3 linked regions of the Lytechinus pictus genome follow. The protein of the gene in region 2 binds, or shares a complex with, the protein of the main gene of each other region. Links are inferred from orthologs where the notes say so. Each region holds a gene or a part of one and is shown on either strand. Other genes may lie near its edges. The genes, in order: histone deacetylase 3-like, corepressor interacting with RBPJ 1-like and deoxynucleotidyltransferase terminal-interacting protein 1-like.

The links.
Region 1: corepressor interacting with RBPJ 1-like (region 2) and histone deacetylase 3-like share a complex: the UniProt entries of both Homo sapiens proteins name them as parts of the notch corepressor complex. The link is inferred for Lytechinus pictus from reciprocal best matches to the Homo sapiens genes CIRSR and HDAC3.
Region 3: corepressor interacting with RBPJ 1-like (region 2) and deoxynucleotidyltransferase terminal-interacting protein 1-like share a complex: the UniProt entries of both Homo sapiens proteins name them as parts of the histone deacetylase complex. The link is inferred for Lytechinus pictus from reciprocal best matches to the Homo sapiens genes CIRSR and DNTTIP1.

What each region holds. Positions count from the first base shown.
Region 1 is NC_087255.1:32,555,226-32,565,609, reverse strand, and holds the start of histone deacetylase 3-like, read left to right. Parts: upstream 1-4,411; 5' UTR 4,412-4,489; coding exon 4,490-4,547; intron 4,548-6,180; coding exon 6,181-6,263; intron 6,264-6,524; coding exon 6,525-6,749; intron 6,750-7,347; coding exon 7,348-7,460; intron 7,461-7,921; coding exon 7,922-8,055; intron 8,056-8,606; coding exon 8,607-8,761; intron 8,762-10,175; coding exon 10,176-10,330; intron 10,331-10,384. Other genes in the region: uncharacterized protein LOC129271199, read right to left, coding at 3,994-4,236. UniProt on the Homo sapiens protein: Histone deacetylase that catalyzes the deacetylation of lysine residues on the N-terminal part of the core histones (H2A, H2B, H3 and H4), and some other non-histone substrates.
Region 2 is NC_087257.1:18,284,592-18,294,622, forward strand, and holds the start of corepressor interacting with RBPJ 1-like, read right to left. Parts: upstream 4,036-10,031; 5' UTR 4,003-4,035; coding exon 3,914-4,002; intron 1,627-3,913; coding exon 1,383-1,626; intron 793-1,382; coding exon 646-792; intron 1-645. UniProt on the Homo sapiens protein: May modulate splice site selection during alternative splicing of pre-mRNAs. Regulates transcription and acts as corepressor for RBPJ. Recruits RBPJ to the Sin3-histone deacetylase complex (HDAC). Required for RBPJ-mediated repression of transcription.
Region 3 is NC_087246.1:21,149,983-21,159,868, reverse strand, and holds the start of deoxynucleotidyltransferase terminal-interacting protein 1-like, read right to left. Parts: upstream 4,039-9,886; 5' UTR 4,001-4,038; coding exon 3,920-4,000; intron 3,249-3,919; coding exon 3,160-3,248; intron 2,265-3,159; coding exon 2,159-2,264; intron 1,757-2,158; coding exon 1,658-1,756; intron 1-1,657. UniProt on the Homo sapiens protein: Increases DNTT terminal deoxynucleotidyltransferase activity (in vitro). Also acts as a transcriptional regulator, binding to the consensus sequence 5'-GNTGCATG-3' following an AT-tract.

The sequences.
Region 1 (10,384 bases), on a different chromosome or scaffold from region 2:
GAAAGCAAGACAGAAACGAAGAAAGAAAGAAGAAAGAAAGAAAAGAAAAAGAATAAAAGAAAGGAAGAAAAAAAGAAAGGATAGATGTGAAGGAAGGAAATAAAGAAAGAACTAAAGAAGGAAAGGAAGGAAGGAATAAAGAAGGAATAAAGAAGGAACAAAAATAAAGAAAGAAGGAAATGAAAAAAAAAAGAAATGAAGGAAAGAAATGAAGCAATACAGAAAGAAAGAACAAATCTAGTAAGTAGTAAAGGAAAGAAAGAAGAAGCAATAAAAAAGAAAGGAAAAAAGGAGAGATGGAAAGGACAAAAGAAAGAATGAGAGGAAGGAAGGATTGAAAGGAATTAAGGAAGGAATAAAGGAAAGGTAAAATGATAGATAGAAGTAAATAAATAAAGGAAGGGAAGGAAAGAAAGAAGCAAGCAATATAAAAAAAGAAAAGGTAAAAGAATAGATGAAGGAAGAAAAAAAGAAAGACTGAGAGACAAAGAAAGGAAGGAATGAAAGAATAAAGGAGAGAAAGGAAGCAAGCAGTAAAAAAAGGTAGGTGAAAGGATAGATTTAACAAAGGGAAAAAGGAAAGAACAAGACAGATAGAAGAAGAATGAATGTAAGAAAGAGAGAAAGGGCTGGAAGAAGGAAGAAATAAAAAACAAGAAAGGGTAAATAAATGATGGATGGAAGGAAGAAAGAAACAAAGAGAGTAACAAAGAATGAAGGAGAGAAAAGGGTAAAAATAAGGAAGGAAAGAAAGGAATGAGAGAAGAGATGAATATAGGATGGATGGACTCAAGAATTAAAGAAAAAAAAATATCAAAAAGAAAGAAAGGAAGGAAGAAAGGAAGAAAGAAAGAACGAAAGAGAGAAAGGAAGGGAGGGAGGGAGGGAGGGAGGGAGGGAGGGAGGGAGGGAGGGAGGGAGGGAGGGAGGGAGGGAGGGAGGGAGGGAGGGAGGGAGGGAGGGAGGGAGGGAGGGAGGGAGGGAGGGAGGGAGGGAGGGAGGGAGGGAGGGAGGGAGGGAGGGAGGGAGGGAGGGAGGGAGGGAGGGAGGGAGGGAGGGAGGGAGGGAGGGAGGGAGGGAGGGAGGGAGGGAGGGAGGGAGGGAGGGAGGGAGGGAGGGAGGGAGGGAGGGAGGGAGGGAGGGAGGGAGGGAGGGAGGGAGGGAGGGAGGGAGGGAGGGAGGGAGGGAGGGAGGGAGGGAGGGAGGGAGGGAGGGAGGGAGGGAGGAAGGAAGGAAGGAAGGAAGGAAGGAAGGAAGGAAGAAAGAAAGAAAGAAAGAAAGAAAGAAAGAAAGAAAGAAAGAAAGAAAGAAAGAAAGAAAGAAAGAAAGAAAGAAAGAAAGAAAAAGAAAGAAAGAAAGAAAGAGAAAAAAGAAATAGAGAAAAATATTTTTTTAAAGGAAAGAAAGAATGAAAGAACAAATTAAAGAAAAAAGGAAATTAAAAAAAGAAAGACAGTAACAAAAAAATGAAAGAAGAGAGGGAAGAAACAAAGAAAGATTGAAAAGAAAGAAGGAAAGAAAGATAGGAAGAAAACAGAGGAAGAGAGCTAAAACTATCATCAAATAATTTATCAGTTTCTTTTTGGCTCAATTAAAATAGCTACGAAAGAAAGTCAGAAACCAAGTGTATCAACACACACATAAATGCATATGTGGGGCTATTATGTATTCAGACGCTATCACCCGAAACCCGATCTGTTTGAACCAAAACAGAAGTGAAAATTTCTCCTTTTACTGCTTACAAATGACAGAGTTACTCCAATTTTTAGGAAATATGGACATTATAAGAGCCTTTCATGAGTATGAACCGTGAATTTTGACAGTTCTTGTGAGATATTTCTGCCAGAGTTTAGCCAAGCTTCGTTCGCGCAGCCAGTAGAGAATTTACCACGTGGGTTGTGTAGCTGGCTACATGTACACTGTATGCTTCTCTAGTGTGTGTATTCTGTGTGTGAATGACAGAATTTACCGGGGGGAAATGGTTTGCAGTGAAATTTGACAATTTCTGGAAAAGTTATTGGCCCAACAATGGATTTTATTACTGGTCATGTCGGACCCTTAAATCTTGCTATTTTTGGAAAAATTACTGGCCCGACAATGATATTTTTTACTGGTCATGTCGGACCAGTAAATCTTCCTATTTCTGAAAATCTACTGGTCCGACAGCGATTTTTACCGGTCTGGGACCGTCGGACCGCCGCTAGTGTCGAGCCCTGAGTACACCTTACAAAAGGGATGGAGAGAAGACTTGACTAGGCACAACATCAGCTGTTCAAAAAAATCCTTGGTCTCCTTAGAACAGCAGCAGATGAAGTCATCTTTCTTCTCACTGGGCTCCTCCCTCTTAGTTCTCAAGTTGACCTTGAGAAGCTCCTCTTGATTGGACAAGCATTGTCATTTTTTAAAGCATTTTTAATTTTTTTTTTATTTCTCCTCGTACACAGACTGCTCACAAAGGTGCAGCCGCCATTAGGGGGTTTGCAATATAACCCCCCCCCCCCAGCGGGGATCTATTATTTTTTAGCAAATAAAAAACATTTAAACAAAAAGTACTGCACCTATAGCAAGATTATTATTCCGGTTTGGCCTGAAATGCACCAAAACGGAAAAAATAAACTTATAAGGGAAAAAACCAGTGACTTACTTCGGCTGTTGTCGCGCAACTCCCACTTAAATCCGAACTTAATACATAAACATATGGGCATTGAGTCCCTGTATAGATCAAGTTATAACTTTGAAGTTTCTAGCTTTGTGATGGTTATATTTAAAAACACAGAGCCACAAAAAATGACAAAGCAACCATCCTCCCATAATTTCTGAAGTACACCTTAGATTTAACATTATACCATATTCTATTCCTCCTATTAGATTAGAATTCTAAAGTAAATGAGAGGAAAAGAAAGAAAAGAAAAGAACAATCTTCTTCTTCTGCCTTTTCTTCTTCCAAGTTCCAGTCTGATACAGTCCGCCACTGGCGTATTATTGAACCTTGGAATGGATTGAGTTGGAAACTAACTTTAGTACCGTACTAGTAGTCTCTAACTTTGTTGTATGGTGGTGTGACCTTAATTCATGCATTACCTAATTTTGTGCACGGTAGAATCCCAATATCGAATCAAAATCTTGAAAAACTGATATCACCAACACTAAACAGATGCAAAATTACTTGGTATGGTACCGTAATTTTCTTGAAGGTAAGGTCTCAATTTGTGAAAATATTGGCAAAACATCTGCAAATTTTGTTACCATTTGCTTCCGCTCCGAGAAAATCCAAACTTCTCGACAAGCTTCCAGAAATCGCCAGTTTGCAAGCAGAGGTATCCAAACAAGTATAAAAAGTAAAATGATATACTTATAGTTATACCAACCGAATTTATAGCATTTTAACCTCCATCTAATACTATTACCTTTGTCTGCTTGATTTATTTTCGAAAGCTTTGCAAAACGATCGTGCGCAAATTAAGGTCACACTTTTTATGACACTTTGTTAGCCGAGCGCACACTACTAGTCGATCGTCATGGAATTTGAGATTGCGATACCGGCGAAACCCTGGCCTTGGCTTGGCCTACTTTATAATTCTGTCAAGCTAATTTGACTTTGGGATCTTGCCTTCCGTTTGGTATGTATGATTTTGATTAATTTTTATGTGAACTGTGTGTGAGAAAATTTGATTGAAAATCAACTTCATGATAATTTTTAAAATGTCCGCAAATTATGGTCGGTCACCCCATCATAATTTAACTTTATTTCTTAAACAATATAGGGCCTAGTCTGATTTCATTGAGATAGAACAAATGTTAAGTCTAACTCTAACTAAGTGAGACCACATGGCTTGCCTCCCATTAGAATAAAAGTACCCTGTTCAATTGTTGCGCAATTGCGCCTCTGCTCAAGTGCACGTGCATGATCAATATGTACCATCACGTAACATCAGATCTGCACCCCCGACGTTCCGGCAGCAAACTCCTGTCGCTCCCGCTGTGAACACTTACCCCGGGCACGACGTCAATGCTTTTGTACTTGACACTCTCGAGGAGACGTCGGAATTCAACTATAACTGGAACACACGTTATTTCTTGACTTGTTTTGCTATTTTCGATGCATTTTTCCGTTGACAATAGATCACTTGTTGTACCCTCAGCTGACTTAGTAATTGCTGGTCTGTTTTTACGTCGTTTAAATGTGAAGCTTGCAGTGCTTAGTCGCACCGAAATTGATCCCAAGGGCGCTGCCATCTTTATTTTCTAAACAGGCTCTACATGTAATATTCATTTATTATTTAAAAGTCTGGTTTGTAAAACCTAAAAAAAGGTGATATAATTGTAAAATTTTACTTAATCTTATTTGTATATTTACATGCAGATGGTAAGTCAGCAAATTAATTTTCAAAGTTTCATTAATTTTCCCAATGAATTCATACCAAGAACACAATTTAGTTGGAATGATTGAACTTCAATTGAGACTCCTATCGACTTATATTGTTCCACGATGTCGAGTAAAACAATAGCTTATTTCTACGATGCAGATGTCGGGAATTTTCACTATGGTTAGTCAAAGGTGGATGGATATGTATGATCTGTATCAGGAGCTTTCATGCAGTTAAAAAGAAGTTTTATTTATCATAACATTGTTTGGAGCTGGAGGCGGCCGCGGCGAAGTCATCCCCCATCTCGCGCACTCCATTCAATCACGAAACAAAGAACTGGCAGTGGCAACAGGCAATGAATGATTTTTGGGGGAGTGAACGTGTTGGAATGGATGGAAGGCCAGCCCAGGTCATGGCCGGGGGGTCACGGCAGCTGTTGCCAACATTTTTATTAAAAAGTCATAAATTGAGTCAAATGATAGAGCAAATGAGCCTGCGCTATATTCAATATTGGTCTGGGTGTGGGGGGGGGGGGTGGGTCAGGGTGGAGGCAAGTTGCGAACAAATTAGACAGCTGGCAGCCGTCTGTTTCGAGGAGTTTTTTAACATTTTTTTTTTTTTTTAATTTCTCCTCATACACAGACGGCTCGCTAGCGTGCAGCCACCATTAGGGGACTTGCAATGCAAAATCCCCCCGTCGGGGCTCTTCAATTTTTGTCTTTAATGAGTAAAAATTTTGAAAATTCACGCGACCAAAATGCAAATTGATATTCCCTCTTGGCATCAATTGCCAAAAAACGGAAAAAAATCAAGTTAAAAGGAACAAAAATAGTGACTTACCTCGGCTGTCGCGCAAATTCACTTCCCCGTTTTATCCGATCTTAAGTACATAAACATATGGCCATTGAGTCCCCTGTACAGATCGCGCTAGAACTTCAGTCTCTGTATTTGGTGAGTGAAGCCAACGGAGTTCAGCTGAACAACCAACATAACAGAGACCGAAGCTTTTGGTCTACGAACAAATAAGTCTTAAGCCTAAGCTCAGTCACTTACACACATGTGAGGTTAGTATGCTGTACTAACCTTGCACAATGTATGAGTTTTGACGATGGACATGTAATTTGTCCTCGTCTGTCACACGAATTTGGGTTGATAAACATGCCAAAATTTTCCCCAAAACAACACAAGTTTTAAAAGCAATAAGAACTAATATTCTTACTTTTCACCCAGTTTCACTTCTTTTCTACGCTTCTATCGGTCTCAAAATTGGTGATTTACATATTAATTCACTGCCGATTCCAAAGCATCGCAAACGCAAATTGCGCGGAAATCGAAGCTCAATTAATGAATATTCAACATGATAACATCGAGATCGTTTCGCATATGCATCAGATCAGGACGGGTTATGTGAGAATACTTCTTAGTTCGGGCTATCAATCTTGCAGCAGAGTTCTGTATTACTTCAGCCATGTTACAAAGCAAACTATTACAAAAATGCAAGTGACATGTCACGAGAGCCTGAACAAGTTTCTTTGTTGTTTTAGAGTCCAAACACAAACATATCTTTCCAAGTTTACTTTCCAGAGACAAATATGTCCAATGCCATATGCTGATCAAACAGAACACCCATATTTCTGGCCAAGACACTAGGAACAATAGAAACATCTTAATCAGGGGAAGTTGTAATCTTCTATGAAATCGAGATGCTATTTGTAAAACCTCTGTTTTCTCGTCATTTAGTTTGAGACCAGTTAGAATTGACCATTGCTTTATCTCTTTTACTTACTTTATCTCTTTTACTTTTACTTCTCAGGTCCTGGTCATCCCATGAAACCTCACAGATTAGCACTCACACACAATCTAGTACTCAACTATGGGCTCTACAAGAAAATGCAGGTAAGATCTCCCAACCAACTCATTTTAATGCCCTTGAAAATGCAAAATGATCTCTTATCAGTTGTAACTTAACCTTGTCATAGGGAGGATTTTAATGTTGTTGAGTTTTAATAGAATCAGAAATCTGTTTGACTTAGTCAAAATGTGTTAATAATGTTTTGATCTTGTCTGAAGAATTGATTCAGTGTAGGTGACGATTCAACTTACAGAAGGTTGACTATCACAGACTTAACTGCATTTTTTTGTTTGTTTCTGTTCTAGATTTACAGGCCATACAGGGCCACAGCTCACGACATGTGCAGATTCCATTCAGATGACTACATCGACTTTCTACAAAGAGTGACACCTCAGAACATCCAGAACTTCACCAAGAGTTTAAGTCATTTCAACGTCGGTGACGACTGTCCAGTGTTTCCAGGTCTCTTTGACTTCTGTTCAATGTACACTGGGGCATCGTTAGAAGCAGCAACCAAACTGAACAACAATGTGAGAATTTAAACATATTTTAGTATATAAATGAATACATGTTAGTATAGGAAAGTGATTTTTTTTTTTTGGGGGGGGGGATGGTTTTGCCTTTTGGTGTCCCATAAGAGAACAATATGTAATGTATATACAGTTTATGAAGCTTGTCAGCTAAGATAACTGTTTATTCTATGACAGTCCTGATTGTAACAGTTAGAGACCAATGCTTTCCAGCCAATCAAAATCAAGGATTTCACGGAAACTGTAGGCCTATAGAGATAGGATGTTGACAACTCTCTGACTTCTCCACCAGTGTACTTCTCATTTTTATTGAGACTATTATGTCAGACTGTACTATATATTTATCTCATAATTTTCAGGAATGATACCAATATTAAAAATGTTGTGATTTTGAGCAACATGTTTTGAAATAGATTTTGGAAGAATCATGCTGGGGCCAATTTGTGAAATCTCTATGTTATCTTTTCATCCCTCTTCATGTACAATATCTTTTTTTATATCACTGATTTAATTTTTATGTTTTTATAGTGGGAATAAATCTGAATTGTATTGAATGGAATTGAACTGTAAATTGTTAGAAAATTTGTTTCCATTGCAGCTATGTGACATTGCAGTAAACTGGGCTGGTGGGCTTCATCATGCAAAGAAGTTTGAGGCTTCCGGGTTCTGCTATGTCAATGATATTGTCATTGCTATTCTAGAAATTCTCAAGTAAGCCATGTTTCTATTTGATTTACGATCTTGAAAATAATCTTGTTCATAGGTTTTGTATCTTTGCTTAACATTTTTGAAGTATTGTTATCTTAGTAATATTGTCAGATTCAGAATTTCCTATATAATTAAAGTTATACATTTAGCTTAAGACATAGCAGTGCTAGCATGCCCTTTTCCCCAATCTGCTGTATAACAGGTTGTACAGTGTATCTTATTATTTTCTCAGCTTTATATGGTGAATCATGAAGAAAATTGCCTTTTTGTTAATACCGTTTTATATTTGCTGATATGATAAAGATGAACAAACAATGTAATTTCATTTAAGCTAGATGAACTACATCATAATTCTTTCAAATTAAATCTTTTCTGTCATTTTTCAATTCCTTTTTCACATAACTTAATCATCATTGTGCACATTATTTCATGAGATTCCCCATTCTTGTTCCCTTCTCTGCTAGATACCATCCTAGAGTGCTGTACATTGATATAGACATCCATCATGGAGATGGTGTTCAGGAAGCATTCTACCTCACAGACAGGGTCATGACAGTATCATTCCATAAATATGGCAATCACTTCTTTCCAGGCACAGGTAATGGGCCTGTTTCATAAAGAGTTACAACTTTGGTAACTTTGCCATTATGGCAACTACAGTGGTAACAGGGCTCAGTAGCCAATCACAATCAAGGCTTTTATGTGAGTTACAATAATAGTACAGTCACCATAGTTGTAAGTATTTGTGAAACAGGGCTAATGTGTAGGTAAAAGGCGTGTAATAATGAGTATACTTATTATTGTAAATCGATAATCAATAAATGGGGTATATTCATTTTTTATTTCATTCAATTCCCAACTCTGAATTTTCTTTCCCATCAATTGATATGTATGATGTAGATTCCATCAAGTGGTGTTAGACCAAGTGGATATTGAACAAAATGGGTAGAGCCTAACTGGAAATAAGACAAAATGCTAAATGGGAATAATGATAATTAGACCAAATGGTTAGTAGACAAACTGGTTGTAGTAAAAAAAACTGGTTGTAGGTTAAGTAGGATTAGACCATCTGGGGTGAGACCAAACGCAAAGTAGCGCAGCGGTTTTGTAGACCAATCAGCAGTTTACTGTTTATTTCTTTTCTTCCAGGTGACATGTATGAGGTAGGCTTAGAGAACGGGCGTTACTACTCCATCAACGTGCCTCTCAAGGATGGCATAGACGATCTCATGTACTCCGGTCTCTTTAAACCAGTTATACAGAGTGTCATGGAGTTCTATAGACCTACGTGTATAGTCTTGCAGGCAAGTCTCTCAAATTCACTTTCAAAGTGTAGATCTTTTTATTCTTATGCATAAAAAACCCTCAATAAATACACATCAAGCTATGCTGCCAACTGTGAAAAAAAAATCATTATTTGTTATGAAACTGTGACAGGAATGAAAATAGAAATAATAAAAGGAAAAAAGAGGGGTGAAAGAATTACTTGCGAAGGAATATGCATGATATTGTATCCAAACATTTACACATTAAAAGATAAATACCAGTTGTGGTAATGATCTCAAAATGAGTTCGAAGAGAATCCAATAAAATGATCACCCAAGTCTATGTATGTATAGATAAAAATATGTGATAAATGGCTCTGGAAAAAAAGTGCAATTGTTGAGAAATGAGCAAAATATTCCCAGAATTCCATAAAATGTTGGGTATTTTTCCAAGCAATATTAATACACTGTCCCACCTACTCCCTTTTGTGTTAGTTATCATTAGAATTATCGGTTTTCAGCTAAGATTTCATGATTTCACAAAGATAAGTTGATTTCAATGTAACAGATCTAGATCTATGATAATATGGTGGTAATTTATCTTGATTTTAAAGGCTTTCTCATGAAATAATTGTTTGCTGCAAGTACTTTATTTTACCTTTAAACAATGTAGAATCTAGTATACATGAATTTAGTAATAGAAGTGACTAGATTGTAGAGGAAAGTACTTGTGCATTTTTGTTGCATGAGGATGGTTAGGGTAAGGGTTAGAAATCAAAGAAATTGTATAAAAAAATTAAAACAAAAAATGTCTGCAAAAAAATGCAAATTCTGATGAAGAAATACCAATTTTGGAGGTACAGAATGAATATTGGCTATTTTGAAGGATGGCAGCTCTTTATATGTGTATTCATTTACATTCCATCTGACAAAGAAGTTAAGAATCTAAAGGCCACTGCACATCTTATGACCCGACTGGTCTACGACTGGCCTGTGACTGAGTGAGGGGAGATGTGACGTCACAGCTCTTGTCAGCTTGAGAGTCGCAGACCAGTCAGAGACAAGTCGCAAGGAAAATTGTAAGGATTTGACATGTCGAATCCTTATGACTGAATCGCAAGCTCAATCCAACTTCCAGCCAATTAGACAGCAGAGTTGCACGACGCGTATATGATATACATCGCGCATATGCTGTAGTAATTAAGCGCCATTTTCTCAGTTGCTATGGCAAAAAGCAAAAAGCGCATGCGTGAGTCACAGACAGCATGGTATTTGGATCGCAAGGTGTGCGGTGTTGAGGCCTATGACTACCTTGCGATTCATCTCTACTAACTCATTCGCAAGCCAGTCGTAGACCAGTTGGGTCGTAAGGTGTGCGGTGGCCTTAAAGCACCAACTGACTCCCACTTGTTAATCTCATTTCTAAGATGAATCTTTGTTTTAATCTCGACAGTGTGGAGCAGACTCTTTAGGCTGTGACAGATTAGGGTGCTTCAGTCTCAGTATCAAAGGCCATGGGGAATGTGTAGAGTACGTCAAACAATTTAATGTACCCCTACTAGTGATGGGTGGGGGCGGTTACACAGTCAGGAATGTAGCAAGGTGTTGGTGAGTATTGATGTCTATCTTTTGAGTAAGCAGGTTCCTAATTATTATTATTTA
Region 2 (10,031 bases):
AGGATTTGCGACAGACAGACTGCCAAACCACATGTTCAACTGTACGCAGATTCCTCCAGGATATATATACTCCTCCAAACTTAGATAGCGGGAGAATAATAAAGACAAATCTGATCCAATATCTGAAAACCATGTTTCTGTTTTTACTACTGGTTCTCGCAATATTCATTTCAATCAAACAAAGGTAAAATGAAATTGTAGGAGAAATTAAATGTTAAAAAAGCAAAAACAAATGATTTCCAAAATGACAGATATTTTGCTGTGACATTTAAATGCCATTTTCTTCCCTTCTATCCACCAAGATTCTCCAACATGCTAAGAAAAGATGTACTAGTACATTAGATTCCAGGGCGAGGTCACATGAAAGATGCCAACCTAGGTATTACCAAGCGGTCCTTGCATAAATCATTAACCTTTTCCATTCTCATACATTGAGCGCCTGACAGTATGGTGGAGGGTCTCATTTTTCAAGTGTTTGGTGAAGCTCAGTCAGGGATCTAACTCACAACCTCAAGTTGGTGGGGCCGGCACTCTAACGCTGAGCCACCATATCTGATTACAGGAATTGGCATGCCTTCAGAGCACATTACACAAAACATACAACAGAGAGCGTGACATCTACTTGCATACAGACAGTCATCTCACCTGATTTTTAGCATCTTCATTGACTTTCCTTCCGAGGACGTTCTGTTTCAGGGCCAGCCCACCCCTTCTCATATCCTCCATCAGGTCAGATTTATCGGTGCTGGGTCCAGCAATCTCATCATCCTTGGTCTGGTCAAACTTTGGGCACTGTAGATGAAAGCAATGGGAAGTTTATCAAAAAAATGTGTTGTATCATAGGGATAGCAGGGTACTGGTAATGGTAAATACATGACTTGTATATCCTCTGAAAATTGTATCATACTACTTTCCAAGAATAAAGAGCCAAGTGTGTGACATGACTTACTTGAATTCTGATGGATTTAGTGTCTAAAAGAAATGCAATACAATGGTCAAACTAAGATGTCTCCATGTTAACAAGCTTGGCGCTTCTGTTATTGATGGGAGCAAATGGAATTCCTATAGTGTTTATGTGTGTGCTGATACCTGAACTCAAATGTATAACAACAGTAAGAGAGAATATATTTTTTTTACATATTACAACCATTTCAGGATCAAACATGCTAAGTGGTGAATTTAGAAATACAAGATTTTGTCTCTTACATGTAGTAGACCATTTTTTTGTCATTAATTCTGTCATCTGATTTAGTCAATTTGTTTTTGAGACAAACTCGTATTCACCCAATTTACTAGGTCAAAAAGATCAAATGGGTAATATGAACCTATATTATGCATAAATTTACAATTGGCTTCATGCAACATCACCGAAAATCGCATACCTCTCTATCAGTGTTGACATGGCCCCACTTGTGGCATCTGATACACTTGACGTTGCGGACAGCGATACCAAAGGGTTGGTCGGTGACTTCCATGTCCTTGGCGTAGCCTTCTCTAGGAGCCCCACGCTGCCATTCAAACTTGTACTCCTGATCCCCGTCCTCCTTCTCTTCTTGCTTCATGCCCTTGGGCGGTTCGTACATGAAATTCAGGCCATGCTTCACCCGTACATCACCCATTAGCTGCCTGTATAGAGATTCAAGACAGTGATAGATACATTAAAAACAGTTTGTGGGACGGCTTATTATATTCACTCGCGTTCGTAATCACTCGCGTCGGGTTGGTAATCACACGCGTTTTTTATTTTTGGCGATTTTTTTTTTTTCGGTGCGATTTTTTTTCTAACGGTGTCTTCAATGGGACAAACGTACTGGAAAAATAAAATGAAATTGAAATTCGAGTTTCGTTTTATTTTAAGCTGGTAAGTGCCTTAAATAAAACGTTCTCGACCACTGTTTTAAGATAACAGGCAAATTTTGACTACTGTTTTAACATAATCACATTCCACATCTTAAATCTTAGAGCCATAGGCGGCGGAAGCGGGGGGGGGGGGCTCCCCCTAAAAAAAGAGAGAGGGGGGAGAAAGGAAGGGAAAGAGGGAGAAAAGAGAAAGAAAGAAAAAAGACAGACAGAAAGAAAGAAGCAAGGAAAAAAGGAGAAAGAAAGGAGAAAAGGAATAAAGAAGAAAAAGGAGGAAAGGCTACTCTCGATTTAGCTTTGCCTTTGGAGGATTTTCCTGAAGTCTGTGGTATTCTTTATAAAGCATAGTGAGGTGCTACAATTTCATAATATCACTATTTATTTGCTTCTTCCTTTCTTTGTGAATTATTCTACACTAACGTAAAAAATCAGGGGGGAAAAAAGTGCTGAAGAAGAAAAGCAAGAAGGAGGAGGAGAAGTAGAAGAAGAAAAAAGAAGATGGAGGACATAAGGGGGTAAAAATAAAATTAAAAAGAGAAAATTGAGGAGAGGATGTAGAAGAAGAGAAAGAGAAGATAAAATAAGGGGAAGACTGAGAAGAGAAAAGGAAGAAGTGAGAAGGGAGATGAACAATAAGGACAAATACAGAGAAATAAAAAAAAACTAATACAGAGAAATACAGAGAAATTTAAAAGAACAAATACAGAGAAATTTTAAAAAAAATTAAAAATGTTTGAAAAAAACTCCTCAAAACAGACTGCTGCCAGCTGTCTGGGGTGGATCAAGCTTGTTATCTATTCTTGGTACTTAAAACAGTAGTCGAGTACATTTTATTTTAAGGCACTTAATTGCCGGCTTAAAACGAAACTCAAATTTCCCTGCATGTCTGTTTCATTGAAGACACCGTTAAAAAAAAATCGCACCGAAATAAAAAAAATCGCCAAAAATCCAAAACGCGAGTGATTACGAACCAGAACGCGACGCGAGTGATTATAAACTGCCTGTGGGACTGTAGATTGATAAAACATGGTAAAAAAACCTTGGAAATCAGATTGTGGGACCGATGATTGATGATACAAGTAAATGGTATAGAAACATGAAATTCAGTTTGTGGGATTGTAGATTGATAACAGATGGTCATGAAATATGAAAATCAACTGGGAAATCTAACTTGATGTATGGGTGGACTTTCCATTTAAATACTGCATTACTTTTCATTCATGTCTTCCAAGTACTTAACCTTACTTTTAAGTTTAAGAAGGGCATCGTCATTCAATGCCACAAAGAGCCTCAGTATGAATAGGCAAAGTAAAAGAAAGTATCAGTTTCCCATCCCCAAATACATTGTTTTTGCTGCTGCATCCCCCCCCCCAATTTTTTTTTTTCAATATTTCAAGACACAAGTTTGATTTATTTCTGCTTATTTCAGGTCGTTGAATGAAAGTCTTGCCCAAAGACACTACATCTGTTATCTGGGGGTGGGGGGGGGGGGGGGAGAAATGTGGTTTTGGAGAGAAAAAAAATACCCTCATCCTCCTGTTAGTGTTATTCAAAAGGTGAGATCAGAAACTGCTTTTCTGAATTTGCCTAATGCAGACCTGCCAACCTTCTACAACAAAAAAAAGTATTCTTAGAAGAAAAAAAGAGGATTTTTTAAAGTTTTGTCTCAACGTAATAATTGCCAGCCTGTTGTAGTGAGATCGGTGAAAAAAATGTGAAATGATTCTACTTGGAAAAATTGAAAATTCACCCTTTTAAACATGTGCTCATGTAGGCAAGAATTCACTTATTCTTTTCATGCAACAAGTTACTGGCCCGACAGTGATTTTTACAGGTCTGGGACTGTCGGATCGGTGCTAGTGTCACACGCTGTGTATATTACATACTCCATGATCGGAAATTGAAAAAAAAAAGTAACAAATCATACCAAAAAAGTATTGGTGTATTCATAGCAAAAAAAGAAGAACAAATACTCTAAAAAGGGAGCGGTTTGAATGTCTGCTAAAGGAGCCCTGCAAAAGTGGAACAATTACACCATGACAAACAATATTACCTATTGTTATAAGTATCTTGTTCTCTTTCATATTCAGATCTCAAGGCTTCTTGCTTTTTCTTTTCTGCATCAGTTCTCTGTTCTGCCATCCATACCTGTTCAACACCAAAAAAAACCAAAAAACATTTAATTACCAAGTTGGCTTGATGAACGTGTAAAATGGTTGAATTTGAAAATACTTTGGACAAAGATCAGAAACATAAAACATTATTATCATTCATCTGAAACTAAATTTTGTGAAAGGTAAGCTACATGTAAGTTAACTTGCTTAAATAAGTAAACGTTAAATCTAGATCTAGACCACACACACTAGTACGAGGTTAATATTCTAGACTAGTGAGTAGGCCTACATGTAGGTAGTGAGTCTGACTGACGTTTGTCGTTAGGCATAACTTTTGTTAGACTATATACATGTAGTATGTAGACTAAACTGAAGTGAACAAATAATTACATTTTGGTGAATTGTTCAGGGCCTGCATATATAGCTGCACATGCATCATTCATTATCTGGCATTTTTTAATTTTTTTTTTAAAAGAAAGTCAAACTGTTCATGATGGTGAAAATTAAAAGACAAAAAGGCCAAATAGAGCACATTCAAAAATTGAAGAAAAAAATGAAATAAAAAGTAGGGCCTATATCTAATTAATAGTTTGAGTTTGAAACTTTGGCGCTAATGCAGTTTCGCACCGGCCGATTACCAGCATACCTCATCACCAATACTTGTTCCCAAATGTCTCTCAGTCACATTTCGAGGTCAATATACCCATCTCTTTTCCAAATATCGTGATCGGGAACGGCTGTATTTCAGCTTTGATCTCGATGTCGTTGTCCGAATCCTCAGACATCACTTCGCGGATCGCTTGGATTCGCCGTGCGCCGTAATGTTGATATGGACTGAAGTTATGCGACCAAAAGATTCGCCTGCAGCATGCTGGCAGTTTGTTCGCCACATGTTCACATGATTCGGTTGCTAACTTCAGTCCATATCAACATTACGGCGCACGGCGAATCCAAGCGATCCGCGAAGTGATGTCTGAGGATTCGAACGACATCGAGATCTGGACAGACTGGAGATCACTCCTAGTACCAATGAGGTCCAAACATTACATGTATGGACCTCATAGGCGACATCAGTGATAAAACCGGTTAGACATTGCCGTTTCTATTTGCACCCAAGAACTTTGGCAAATGTACGCCTTAATACATAGTGGATGGTAACAATTTAGGTATTAATTAGTTTTAAACATGATAAGGAAACTTCTACGACATTTGAAATTTAATGGATTGAGGTTAAACTTACATTTTCAGTCTTTTTTCTTGAATTCTTGGTGAGCGTTCCAAACGCTGTGGGGACTGATCAACTACGATGTGATTCACGTACTGGTCAGCTGATCGGTCAGGTGATCGGTTGGTTATCTTTTTGTCAGACGTTCATAATTTATATTACAATATATCAATCTTCAGTATCTTGATTTCAAGCATCAGTATTGCAGGGAAAAGTCATTATCGATTGGAATCAATGGCAGATCGGGGGGGGGGGGGGGGGGTTGAGCATTTCTGGCCCGTTCCACCTTTTGAGATTCATAGTCAATATTTTGGATGTAAAAAAAAAATGTCGTTCGTACAAAGTTAAGTCCCCCCCCCACCTCCTTATGAAAATCACAGCAATATTTGTAATGGGGATATTTTGTTCATATTCTTTGCTCTTTTTTGTCCTTTTCTTTTTTGCTTCCCAAATTTATTTTACTTTGAACATATGACTTTCTATATTTAATGAAAAACTTTTTTAGGGGGGTGGGGGCTTGCCAAATATAACGCGCGACAAGATGACCTTCTTTTTTTAGTGACAACTTTTTTTTTATTTGTCAAATTTTACGAGAGACAAAATGACCTTCGATCATTATTAATTAAACCTTTTTTTTGGAGGGTAGGGGGCTCGCCAAATAGTGACACACTTTTTTTTGTAAAATGTTATGCAAGAAAAAATGATCTTCAATCATTATCAGCTACCTTTCATTTTTTTTTAGGGGGGGGGGGCTTGTCAAATTTTACGTGGGACAAATGACCTTCATTTTTTAGTGATTTTTTTTTTATACTTGACAAATTTTAAGAGGAACAAAATGGCCTTCAATCATTTTTAGTTAAAACCTTTTTTTGGGAGGGGGGCTTGCCAAATATTTCACAAACAAAATGAACTTCAATTTTAGTGACCATCTTTTTATTACTTTTAAAATTTCACGCAGGACAAAATGACCTTCACTTTTTTTTAATGTTATGTTATATCGAGATTTTTTACCTGACTGCTAAAAAAGCACGAATGCCTGTGAGCAAGCAACCAGGGGACCAACGGCTTAAGGTCCTCTCCGAGGGACCTGGTAATGAGGATAAGCCTTGAGGGCACTAGCGCACCACTTGGGAATCGAACCCGGGTCACCGGAATCCGAAACCCCTGCTCTACCGACTGAGCCATCGCGCCTCCGATATGAGCGTGATCGGTTCATCACGGACGGACATTTGATAGATTTTGAAAACTTTGAAGGCTTGTAACAAATTAGGAATAAGATGAACATGGTTCCTTTGTGTTTTATAGTGAAGGGTAGGACAAAGTATGCTGAATGATGAAAAAAGTTTGTTGCCATGGTTACCTACAAACATAGGTAGCCACTAAATGTGCCATATCACGGACGGACATGATAGAAATGTGGTTTTCAGAATTTTTGAACATTTTTATTGTTTCTATCTAAATAGCTTAACATTGACCAATAATTGTTAATGCAACTTACACTCGGGTATGTTAGCTTCTATGTTCAGCATATTGAATTCTTAACCAATATCAAACTTCTGAGAGAATTGCAAATATTTTCCATCTCGGACGGACATCTCGGACGGACATCACGGACGGACACATATAAAATACATTGGAAGTACCTTGTAAGAAGTTCTTATTACTTGTTTGGGGGAACAAATGCTAATGTATTGATGCTTTGTACATTTTTTTATATGATTAAACAATATTAGTTGCACAATCAAGTTGCTACAACTTCAATCAAGTTGCTACAACTTGATTTAAGTTGTAGCAACATGATTTCTATGCTAGACACACAAAATAATCTAGCCATATGATTGCTTTTAAAGACAGTTCTTTTCAAAATCAAATATCCTAATGCACATTGTCTTCTTTTCAATTTAGAGAATACTGTAGTTGGTACCAAATCAACATCCAGTGGATCAATGATCATGTTGATACTTATCATGATGATAAATGTTCATACATTTTTAGGCATTAATTTTCGAAGAGCACATATTTTTTTTTAATGTCCATTAAGTAAATCCAAAAGATTCACAGGTTGCTGATCATTATGCTTGTTTGGTGGATCAAGTATGACCACAACACTTGTCCAGGCTCTCTTCAAATTCATCTTTTGTCCATATTAAAGTGGAGACACACCTTCATATCAACAGCCTCATGTATTTAGGCACTGACCAAATCCAAAATTGAAATCAGATACCAATTAAACTTAAAAACACTGCAGTGCAAATTTTTTTAATGAATTGTATGCATTTTCAGATTACCAGATCAGCAATTTGCTCAAAATTAGCTCCAAAATGGACTTTAAAAAAGGAATTGTTGTACTTTTCACAAGCCTCAAGGACGTGATGTCATGTTCTGTTAGAAGCATTGTGAATCCATAGGTTTGCACATGGAATTTTTTTTTTTTTTTCTGCTTATCAGAATATGCATTCTACTTTCTTCTTTTCCATCACTTTCTGCAAGCTTCAATTGATGAAATATACAGCTTTTGACTTATTCTTGCTCTATTTCATTTCCTGCTTTTTGGCATACATGTAGCTTCCAACTCTATCTGCATTCCAATTATGTTTTAAAAAAATTTCCTGACAACAATTAAGTCCCAATAACAGCCAAAGAAAGATTTCACAAAAAATTGTGAAGAGTTGTAGGTTTCCATCCATTTGAGTTCTGAATAATTCTCAGTACCATTTTTCACTGCAAATTGGAACTAAAATTAAATTCATAATCTGCTCAGTATTTGCTCATTGTCTGTCCGTGATGAAATTAATGTCCGTCTGCGATTATTTTGATTGATTTATGATATGGATAAAATGTATGGATTTTAGCTATATTCAAATGAAATGATGTACAGTGTCTAGTGAGATGCTTCTGCACACTTTTATTTTTGTTTCTATTCTGATAAAGAATAAAAAGCTGAATCCATACATATTATCCATATCATAAACTCAATAAAAATGATCACGGACAGCCATTAATTTCATCACGGATGGAAATTTCAAAATGGAATGTTAACATCTACCAGAAAAATTTACTTCCCATATTTTTTCTACTAATTTATGTTTGATGATAGATTAATGTTTAGAGTACAAGAAAATCCAAACCAAATTGGAGTAGCTTTGAAAACAATAAAAATAGAGTGAATTGAATTTGAGTGAATTTACATTGTCCGTCCGTGATGAAATTAATGTCCGTCCGTGATCATTTTTGATTGAGTTTATGATATGGATAAAATGCATGGATTTCAGCTATGTTCAAATAAAATGATGTACAGTGTTTAGTGAGATACCTCTACACCTTTTTATTTTTTATTTCTATTCTGATAAAAAATAAAAAAACTTTTTATATTTTTTTTCATCACGGACGGAAATTTCAAAATGGAAATGTTCACACCTACCAAAAAAAATTACTTCCCAATATTTTTTTTCTACTAATTTATGTTTGATAATAGATTAATGTTCAGAATGCAAGAACATCCAAACCAAATTAGAATAACTTTAAAAACAATAAAACTAGAGAGAATTTAATTTGAGTAAAAATGTCCGTCCGTGATGAGAGGTAATAGCACCCCTACAAATAAAATGGACTATTCCAGTACTTTCGGATTTATCAATCTTCATGAAACTGAGTTCTTTGAAACCTGAGATATCAAAGATTATCTTAAAAGCAATTTTGATAGAAATATCTTTAAAAAAAAATTTCACCTCAATGCTAACCCTTAACCGATCATGCTCAGATGTTAAACTTGGGGGGGGGGGGAGGCTTGCCAAATATTACACGGACAAAATGAGTCTTTTATTTTTAGTCACCATCTTTTCTTTTTACTTGTCAAATCTTACGCGAGACAAAATGACAATTTTTCTGTGATAACCTTTTTGGGGGGGTTGTCAAATTTTACTTGAGAAATTGCACCCCCCTACTTTGGAAAATCGAAGATTAAGATCATGAGTATAGCCTACATCTCAGAGGCATAAACAGATGGGGGCATGGCTGGCCATCCCCCGAGTGGATTTCACCTGAAAAAAAAACATAGGAGCAACGGAAGGAAGAAAGAAAGAAAAATGAAAGAAAGAACGAAAGGAAATTTAAAAAGGAAAGTAATGTGAGAACAAATAATCCGGGGGGGGGGGGGCTACTCAGATAATAAAAAAATCTGCCATCTGTAATTAAATTGGATTAGTTAATATCCAGAGGTCCCAGGGCTACCAACATACATGTAGCGCGGGCAGTGCATGGCGTACCTAGGATTTTCCACAGGGGGGCAAAATCGGCCACCAAAAAATTTGACAAGCAAAAAAAAAGGAAAAAAAGGCTCTTCAATGAAAAAGGTCTTCAATCGTACCAGAAAAAATTTGACAAGCAAAAAAAAAGTCTTCAAGCTCGCCAGGGGGGGCAAAATAGGTATTCAAGCTCGTCGGGGGGGGGGGGGGGGCAAAATAGGTTTTCAAGCCTGTCAGGGGGGCCGGGGGGCAGAGATATGTAATTTGCATGGGTTTGTGACTCATCGGGGGGGGGGGGCAGACTGCCCCCCCCCCCCTAGGTACGCTAGTGCTCGGGACTTACATTACGTAACTTGTATCTTCCACATGCGACATGTACTATGCCCCCTCTTATGAATCAGGGACAACTCGGACCACGGGACATCTCGGACCGCGGGCCGAGTTGTCCCACCCATTACGAGATTTTTTTTCCACAAATTTGCGTCTATTTTTCCGTCATTTCGAAATTTCTTGTAAAGATTTTCTAGAGATATGGTCTGATGGTAATGTTCTTCACTTTCTATTACTTTTTTTTCGCTGAAATAAATA
Region 3 (9,886 bases), on a different chromosome or scaffold from region 2:
AATTTATATATTAAATATTAATTCATGAAAGAGATTTTCAATTGACAATTATCATTCTTTCATAATTCAATAATTCTACCAGAATAAAATATGAAGTTTTGATCCTGATATAAGTTTCTACGAACAAGTTATCAAAATATAAACATACGTGAACAATTTAAAATTTGCAATAACACAAATATAATTGACATCTAGATAATGGACAGTTTCATTCTAATTAATTATTATTAATGACAGTTCAAGAAAGAAAAGGGATGAATCATTATTTCAGATTTGATAAATAAGTCAAAAGAAACAAAATAAAACGGCCAATCAACATGTATTTGACGTTTACATGATTTCAAAATTATCTTCATTCTTCATTCATATCGAAAGTTGATGTGAGAAAAAAGTACTGAAAATGAATATGTCGTTACGCATTTCAATTTAAATTAATTACAAAAAACAACATGACACACGCAGCCAACATTCATTCGACGTTTTCATAGTTTAAAAAATAATCATCTTCATTTGTAACCAAAGTTGCTGTGAGAAAAAGTAGAATTCATTTTGCATTTGATGAATAAATTACAAGAAACAACATGACACACGCAATCAACATTCATTCGACGTTTTCAACTTTTCATAGTTTCAAAAATAATCATCTTCATTTGTAACCAAAGTTGCTGTGAGAAAAAGTAGAATTCATTTTGCATTTGATGAATAAATTACAAGAAACGACATGACACACGCAATCAACATTCATTCGACGTTTTCAACTTTTCATAGTTTCAAAAATAATCATCTTCATTGGTAACCAAAGTTGCTGTGAGAAAAAGTAGAATTCATTTTGCATTTGATGAATAAATTACAAGAAACAACATGACACACCCGAGTAACACGATCAACATTTATTTGACGCTTAAATGGTTTCAAATTATTTTCATTCTTCACTCGCATTGAAAGTCGAGGTAAGAAAATATGCGATGAGTTACGCATTTGAAATCATCAAAACATAAGACGGGAAAGAAAAACGATCTTAAGCGACACCATAGTAAAATCGCCATCGTTGTCAGAACGGAACTTTACTCCATTCACGGACAGTCAATCTCTAAAACTGATATAAGGTCATGTTTCAAAACTGATAAAAACGATGGTTTTCGGCGGGAATATATTACAGAAGAAGATTAAATGATATTGGTGATATATTGGCGACTAAAACTTATAAATTTTGTTGGTGAGTCTTACTAAATGTAATGAGTTTTTGTGACAGGAAAGTGGTGAATCAGTGTCCACGGATACCCGAACCCGAAAAATGAAAACCGTTATCCGTCCACGCGGGCGGAAACCGTTCGGATATCCGTTTGGTGGCAGCATCAACCCCAACACCAAACTTGAAATCACCCAATGTCTATTCAAACAAGTTTACTCCACTCTAGGTGATGAAGAGCACTTAAAGCTGGTTGAACAACCAAAGTGAAGTAAGATTCCGAATGACATATGGAGTATTCAATCCATTCTTCTTCTCCCTTCTTTCATTTAAAACCAACAGAACTATTTTGTCATTATTCATTCTATTTTCAATTCAATAATTGTTCTTTTTATTATTCCCTTAATGAAATGAAAATACTGAGAGAATCAGAATTCCACTTGGTTCAGCTTAAATTAGCCAACTTACGGCCTCCAAGCTATTCCTGAAGACGGTGAGAACATGTTCTTCAGTCACGCTGTCCGCTCCATAGTTCTCTCTCATGTTTTCAACAGCCATGTAGAAATACTTTGAAAAAAATATAAAAAATGAAAATGTTGCTTAATCTAATCAGTATAGTCATAGATATACATAATACTTAGTGCATTTCTTTATAAAGGCATATTTGATATCATCCCACCAGACAACAAAGCCTGAAAGTGACTAAAATATGATCAGATTCCACTCAATTATAGTATTGTTAGAGCAAGGGATCACTTACAGGTACATTATCTATAGAGGCCTACATTAAACAAAAAGACAAAACTATACACTTGAAAGAAATACAAAATTTGTTCAGGGTTGTGTTTCACATTTAAGCAACATGACCTGTGACCTCTCCATAGGACAGGTTCTTTTAAGATACTTGAATGTTAAAGGTTGCCCCAAGACACAATATTTTGCCAATGAAATAAGAACAATCGTACCAACCTGAGCATAATACTGGAATATACAATGGATATCTTTATTAATTCGTTTCTGCAATGTCCCTCGTAAAATCTCCAAGGGCGTGATGGGATTGAACACCACGCCACTCCTGCATACAAAACAATGACAAATAAGATATGTAAATGTACATAAGATAAATCTGGTAATTTCCATACTACAAGTGGGATATTTTGGAGCAAATGTCTAATCAAAACAAACATTAAGAAAGTGTTAATCTTAAAACTCTTAATCTGAAAATGAATCCGTTGCTTCGTGGATTGAGGTAGTCCACAAATAAAGTCTATGGAAATTACAGGATTCAGTCAACAGCAAACATCTTACATTAGAGACCACATCTTTTATTTGTCTGTTTTCTCCTTAAATTGGCCACAGTTTTTAATTTTCTATTCATTTTCATACTTAAAAAAAAACAACCTAAATATGAATAATAGTGAAAATGAATTATAAAATCAGAATTTTCATGAAAAGCTACCACTTCAAAATATGTAATGATTAGCTCAAGTAAAATGACTTATATTCAGGATCAGCAATAATATAGCATTTTTGTCCAGTTCATATATCTCTTTCAAATAAAATTCCATATTCAAGTGTTACCATTCAAGATACAGAGATACAGCAAAGTATGCTATGAATAACACCTATAACCATGTTCTGCATGTAATCCATGCATTGTCGGACCATGACCCGTGAAGACAATGATTGGAGGCAGCACTGTTTTGTTTGTGAACAATGCTGTGCTCCTCCAATGCTTTGTCTCCTCCGGCTCACGGTCCGCCACTGAATCCATGTACTTATTGAAACACTTCTTATCTTGATGAGTTAATAAAGAGATGATGAGTACCATTCGACATTCAAGCCAACAATGTGTTATCATATATTTTTTAATATAAAAGAAAGAAAAACTTGAGATAAGGATAAAGTTACACAAGTGAGAATATCACACTTTCTTGAATTTTTGTTGTTCTACCATCACATGTTCCTACCTTGTCTTGAAGTTAACACCAGGTTGCCTGGTGAGCCGCTGATGTTTGTTGGTAGGAAAGGTCTTCAAAGACATGCAATATGGATTCTTCTGCAAAGAGTACAACAAGTTTGTAAAGAAAAACACACCCACAATTATTAATAACATTAAGCACATACTTGTGTAATGCTGTACATGTAGCTATAATTGAGAAAAATATACTCATCCATTTAATTAATAGTATATCATACCATTTCATTTCTCCATAACATGGATAAATCGCTTCTCCACCTTTAAAAAATACACTGTACCAACTTGAAAGTATCCAAAATCTTTATTGGAAATTATAATCATGGCATACATTCCACATCACCAACGATGAAAAAAATACCTTTATTGACCAACTCTCTCCCTTTTATCTGATAATGTCTAACACTCTAAATGTATTAACTTGGTAATATCAGATTTGAGAAATGAATCATGACCCCTATCTTCTATGACTAATGTTATGATTTGGGAAGGGGGGTGTCAAGATAATTAAAAAATTGTGTTATTTTTTTTTAAGGGTATAATAGAGTTAAACAATCAAAACCTTTCTTTACATATTCTCCTTTCTTTCTTTCTCTCCCTCTTCTCCTCCCCCCAATTTTCTATTTTTGCCCCGACTACTTTGAAATATGATAGAGGGTGGGGTGGTCACCCATTCGCTCGAATGCACTAGCCCTGGGAGAGACACAGACAGACATAGAATAGATATTTAAAGTTATGAATGGGATGCTTACTATCTTGTTACATAGGAGGGCCTTCTTCTTGGTGAGTCTTTCATTCGTCCAGTGCGGTGACAGGCTTTCAACAGAACTCATCCTGTCAAATTCTTTATTGTATTTGTACCTGAAAGGAAATCATAACAAAATTTGTCAGCATTGTAGTGTGATACACTGTCTAGGATTGATGATTTTTTCCTGTGAAAATGGAAAGTGCTTAAAGGGGAATCCAGCCTTGCCCATAAAATGTTGTGTTGGGAAGGAGAAAAATAAATTAAACAGAATGGTGAAAGTTTGAAAGAAATCGAACAAGCAATAAGAAAGTTATAGCTGCTTTAAAATTGAGATCAATAATACTATGTAAATTTCAAATTGGCAACTGGGTAAGTAAATTATGACAAAGGGCAAGGACAACTTTCCCATAGGCCATGTACTTTATAATCAGGGATTTGTGGTTTTCTCCTAAGTACCCCTTCCCCTGGGGCAGTAATCTAAATATAATCCAGGTAGTATATTGTTTTATTTCCTCATGAAAGAAAAATATAATTTGAAATAAAACTTTTGGGGAAAATGACATTTAAGCCATAATATGTATTGGAGTACATGGAAGAGTAGTCCTTGCCTTACATCACTATGACATCCCCTATGCGGCCAATTTGAAGTCTCCATGGGTATAGTGATTAACAATATTTACAACTTTTAAAAATTCATAACTTTCTTGTTGTTTGTCGAATATTGTTCAAACTTTCACCTATCAACTTGTCTGATTTTTCTTTTCCTTATAAAAACAAGTTTTTATTTGGGTTGGATTCCCCTTTAAATTTCCCCCGCTCCTGTTCAGTCTTGGTTCAATTCAATGTTCTTACTTGTCTTGTCTCCAACTTGACTTTAAACGTGGATCTAAATCCTACGTCTAAGGAATCCAAGTATTGGTCCATGAAAGGATTCAAGTTGTATGGCATCTGAACTTGATAACTCCAGCAATGAAACTTGTCACAATGCAAAACTTTCAATCATGCATTGAAATTTCATGACATTTTTTAAGTCATTCTATGAGAAGACACAGACAAAACCCCAGAAGTTTGCTGCACAAAATTCAAAATTTGAGGGGCAGGCATCTCCCCCTTAGGACCAACTGTCAGCCATCCATGTAAAGAACTCTATGACAATTGAAAAGTATAAAAGCACCAATTATTGAACAAAGTGCCCGAGCATAATCCTTATAGACTATATGATATGTTGACCAGTGCGCTCAGGTACCAATTTAGTAGCCCTTGTTTGTACATTTTCTAGTTCAACAATCAATCACAAATTTACAATTAATTACAAAAGAAATGATTGATTTAACAATAGACTTGCGATTGGTCGCGTCCACAAATACAAAATTAACAAGTTAGGCTTAACGTTAGTCTTAACGTTAGTCTTAGAATTAGATTCAAGATCTAACGACAACGTTAATAGTAGGGTGTCTGAAGCCACACTGAAGTGTCAGCATAAAACAGGCTGATTTAGGGGGAAAATGTGATCTGAATTTATTATTAACTTGTGTTTGGCATGTATGGAAAGAGAAGATTCAAGGGCTTCTTTTGACAGTAAGGACAAGTTTATATGATCATTTTAAATAAGGATTTAGAGATAAATTGCAAACCCTCATTTGTGTGTGTTGAGATTGTCATTTCCCCATGCGTTTTCTATGGGATAATGAAATGTCTGTTTTGCACAATTTTTTTCACTTCGTCGCAATTTTTCATTGTGATCTGGTTTCCAAATCTTTATAAAAATCATACCATCAGAAAGAGCATAAAAAAATCTTATTAGACTCTTTATGGACAAGTTTTTGGCATTAATGATGAATTTATAACAGCTCTCGGAAGCTAAAAATTTTGAATTGTGTTTGTCCATTTCTTAACTACACAGTCTATGTATGCCTATGGCAGAGAAATGCTGAAAATTGACCTAATTTCATTCTTCTTTTTTGCAGCCAATAATTGGATTTTTTTTCAAAAATGTTACATTTCTGTCAGTCTGAAGGTTATTTCTCTTCAAATTCACAAAGAAAATGTGATATTTTCTTGAAATAAGAAAAATAATTTTTTTCTCCATACACCCTATTAAAAGCCTCGTTGTCATTGACGTTAGGCCTAGTCTTGAGGACTCCATGATGATGTCTTTTAAAAAAATTTGACATATACTTCTTCATCATTGGAGTCTTGAATCCCCTCCCATATATATGCATAAGAGAGACATGTAAACAAAGATGGATCTCCCTAGGAAATCCATCTCTTTTATTAAAAATCACGTAAATGAACGGGTTTTTATTATTCTCCACACCTTCCTACGCCTAATGCATGAGAAGGTTTAAAAAAATATTCAATTAAAATGTGAAAAAATAAAGGTTTCTTACCAGACCGATGTCATGTAGATCCCTCGATCCAAATGTACACAACGCAAAGACAATAGGGCAGGGGGCTACATAACTTTTTGAAGCACTTGCCCAGTCGGGCAAGTAAATTTTCAAATAGTTGGGAAATACTTGCCCGAATATAGATTTCACTTGCCCGAAAAAATCCTTCAAAACAAAGTTTTATTGCTTCAAAACAAGTTAGGTTTTATGGTTTTACATACCATACCATTGACGGCTTTAAAAATACATTTTTTAACATGACTACTGATGTACCTGACCTTGTAGTTGTATTTTTTTTATTTTTTTATCTTGAACATCATGACAAAATATATGGTCAATATGCTCTTAATTAATTTCCTAATCTCATATATTTTCCATATATTTTGGAGGGGACTAGGACACACAATAAAAAAAGGGGAAATCACTGAAAATAACCATAGGAAAAAAAAGAAATTAAGAGAGGGGGAGAGAATAAAAGAAAAAAAATAAGAAGAAAGACAGAGAGGAAGAAATAAAGGAAGAATTATAGAAAAAAAGAAATAAAGAGAGAGAGAGAATGGCTGCGGGGAAGAGAAAGATGGAAAGAAAGAAAGAAGGGAAAGAAGGATAGAAAGAAAGAAAAAATAGAAAAACAAGTGGAATGCCTCTGGCCGTCTCACCTGCATCACGCGATTCAATATAGCAGCAGTGCTGATTTTGAAAACTACTATAACTCGCACAAGATGTTCAGTGATACTTGGTTACTCTTATTTCCACGTTTTATGAACTAGACCAATACACTTATAGAGATATGATGGCAATTCAACAAATACCCCCAACGTGGCCAAAGTTCTTTGACCTTACATGACCTTTGACCTTGATCATGTGACCTGAAACTCGCACAGGATGTTCAGTGATACTTGATTACTATCATGTCCAAGTTTTATGAACTAGACCAACACACTTTCAAATTTATGGCTGTAATTCAACAAATACCCCAATTTGGCCAAAGTTCATTGACCCTAAATGACATTTGACCTTGATCATGTGACCTGAAACTTGCACAGGATGTTCAGTAATACTTTATTACTATTATGTCCAAGTTTCATGAATCAGATCCATAAACTTTCAAAGCTATGATGGTAATTCAACAGATACCCCCAATTCGGCCAAAGTTCATTGACCCTAAATGACCTTTGACCTTGGTCATGTGATGTGAAACTCAAGCAGGATGTTCAGTGATACTTGATTAACCTTATGTATACGTTTCATGAACTAGGTCCATATATTTTCTAAGTTATGATGACATTTCTAAAACTTAACCTTAGGTTAAGATTTTGATGTTGATTCCCCCAACATGGTCTAAGTTCATTGACCCTAAATGACCTTTGACCTTGGTCATGTGACATGAAACTCAGGCAGGATGTTCAGTAATACTTGATTAACCTTATGGCCAAGTTTCATAAACTAGGTCCATATACTTTCTAAGTTATGCTGTCATTTCAAAAACTTAACCTCAGGTTAAGATTTGGTGTTGACGCCGCCGTCGCCGCCGCCGTCGGAAAAGCGGCGCCTATAGTCTCACTCTGCTATGCAGGTGAGACAAAAAATGAGGGGAAGAGAAAGGAAGGAAAGAAAGGAACAAATAAAAAAGAAAAAGAAAGAAAAATGTTAAAGAGAAAGATAGGAAGAAAGAAAAGAGAAAAAGAAAAGGTAAAGGATTGATGGAAGGAAGGAAAAGAAAGAAAACGAGAGAAAGGAAAGAAGGAAGAAAGAAAAGGTATAATGATAGATGGAAGGAAGGAAAAAAGAAAAAAAGAAAGATAGAACGAAAGACAGAAAGAAATGAAGGAAGGAATGAACAAAAGAGATGAAGGAAGGCAGAAAGAAAAAATAAGGAAGAAAAGAAAGGATGGATGGGAAAAAAAGAAAGATCAAAAGAACGAAAGAAAAAAAAAATCTGAAAGAAAGAAGGAAAGAAAAAGAAAGGAAGAAAGAAGGAAATAAAAAAGAAAGAAAGAAAATGAAGAGAAAAAAATGAGGGGAAGAGAAAGGAAGGAACGAATAAAAAAAAAGTGAAAAGAAAGAAAGGAAGAGACAAAAGGAAAATGTAAAGGATTGATGGAAGGAAGGAAAAGGGAAAGAAAGAAAACGAGAGAAGGGAAAGAAGGAAGAAAGAAAAGGTATAATGATAGATGGAAGGAAGGAAAAAAAGAAATAAAAGATAGAACAAAAGACAGAAAGAAATGAAGGAAGGAATGAAGGAAAGAGATGAAGGAAGGCAAAAAGAAAAAATAAGAAAAGAAAGGATGGATGGAAAAAAGAAAGATCAAAAGAACAAAAGACAGAAATAAAGAAAATCAGAAAGAAAGAAAGGAAGGAAAGAGAAAGAAAGAATGAAAGACAAAAAGAAAGGAAGGAATGAAGGAAAGAAATAAAGAAAGAAAAGAAAGAATGAAAGGGATGAAGAAAGTAAGGAAGAAAAGGAAAAGAATGGATGGACGGAAGGAAGGAAGACAGTAAGAAAGAATGAAAGGAAGAGGAAAAAGAAGGATTAAAGAAAGAGGTAAACAAAGGTTGGATGGAAGGAAGAAAGAAAAAAAAGATAGAAAGAAAAGAATGCCAAAAAAGAAAGACAGCTATAGTAACAGAAAAAAAATGAACAAAAGAAGGAAGGAAATTTAAAGGTCAAGTCCACCTCAGAAAAATGTTGATTTGAATCAATAGAGAAAAATCAGACTAGCACAATGCTAAAAATTTCATCAAAATCGGATGTAAAATAAGAAAGTTATGACATTTCAAAGTTTCGCTTATTTTTAACAAAATAGTTATATGAACGAGCCAGTAACATCCAAATTAGAGAGTCGATGATGTCACTCACTCACTATTTCTTTTGTTTTTTATTGTTTGAATTATACAATATTTCAATTTTTACCAATTTGACGATTAGGACCTCATTGCCTGAACCACAAAGTGTTCAGGGAGGAATGAAACTTCATTTCATATGACAATGACGAGAAAATCAAAATATTTCATATTTCATAATAAAATACAAAAGAAATAGTGAGTGAGTGATGTCATCGGTTCCCTCAATTGCATACCGACCGGGATGCGCATATAACTGTTTTGTGAAATGAAGCAAAACTTTAAAATGTCATAACTTTCTTATTTTACATCCGATTTTGATGAAATTTTCAGTGTTATGCTCGTTGAATTTTTCTCTTTTTATTCAAATCAAGTTTTTGTTGGGGTGGACTTGTCCTTTAAAGAAATAAAGAGAGATTCAAAAGAAAGATTGAAAAGAAAAGAAGGAAAGAAAATAGAGAGGAAGAAAGCTCAAACTATCCAGTCATAAATAAAGAAGAAAATTTATTAATTTTCTTGGCTAAAAAAAAAAGTTACGAAAGAAACCACGTTTATCATCATACACACAAATGCATATGTGGGACTGTCAAACAATGTATTTCAGTGTGTGCGATACAGACGATCATTCGAAACCCGATCTTTTTGAAGCATAACAGAAGTGAAAATTTCTCCTTTTACTGCTTACAAATGACAGAGCTACCCCAATTTTTTAAGGAAATATGGACATTACAAGAATT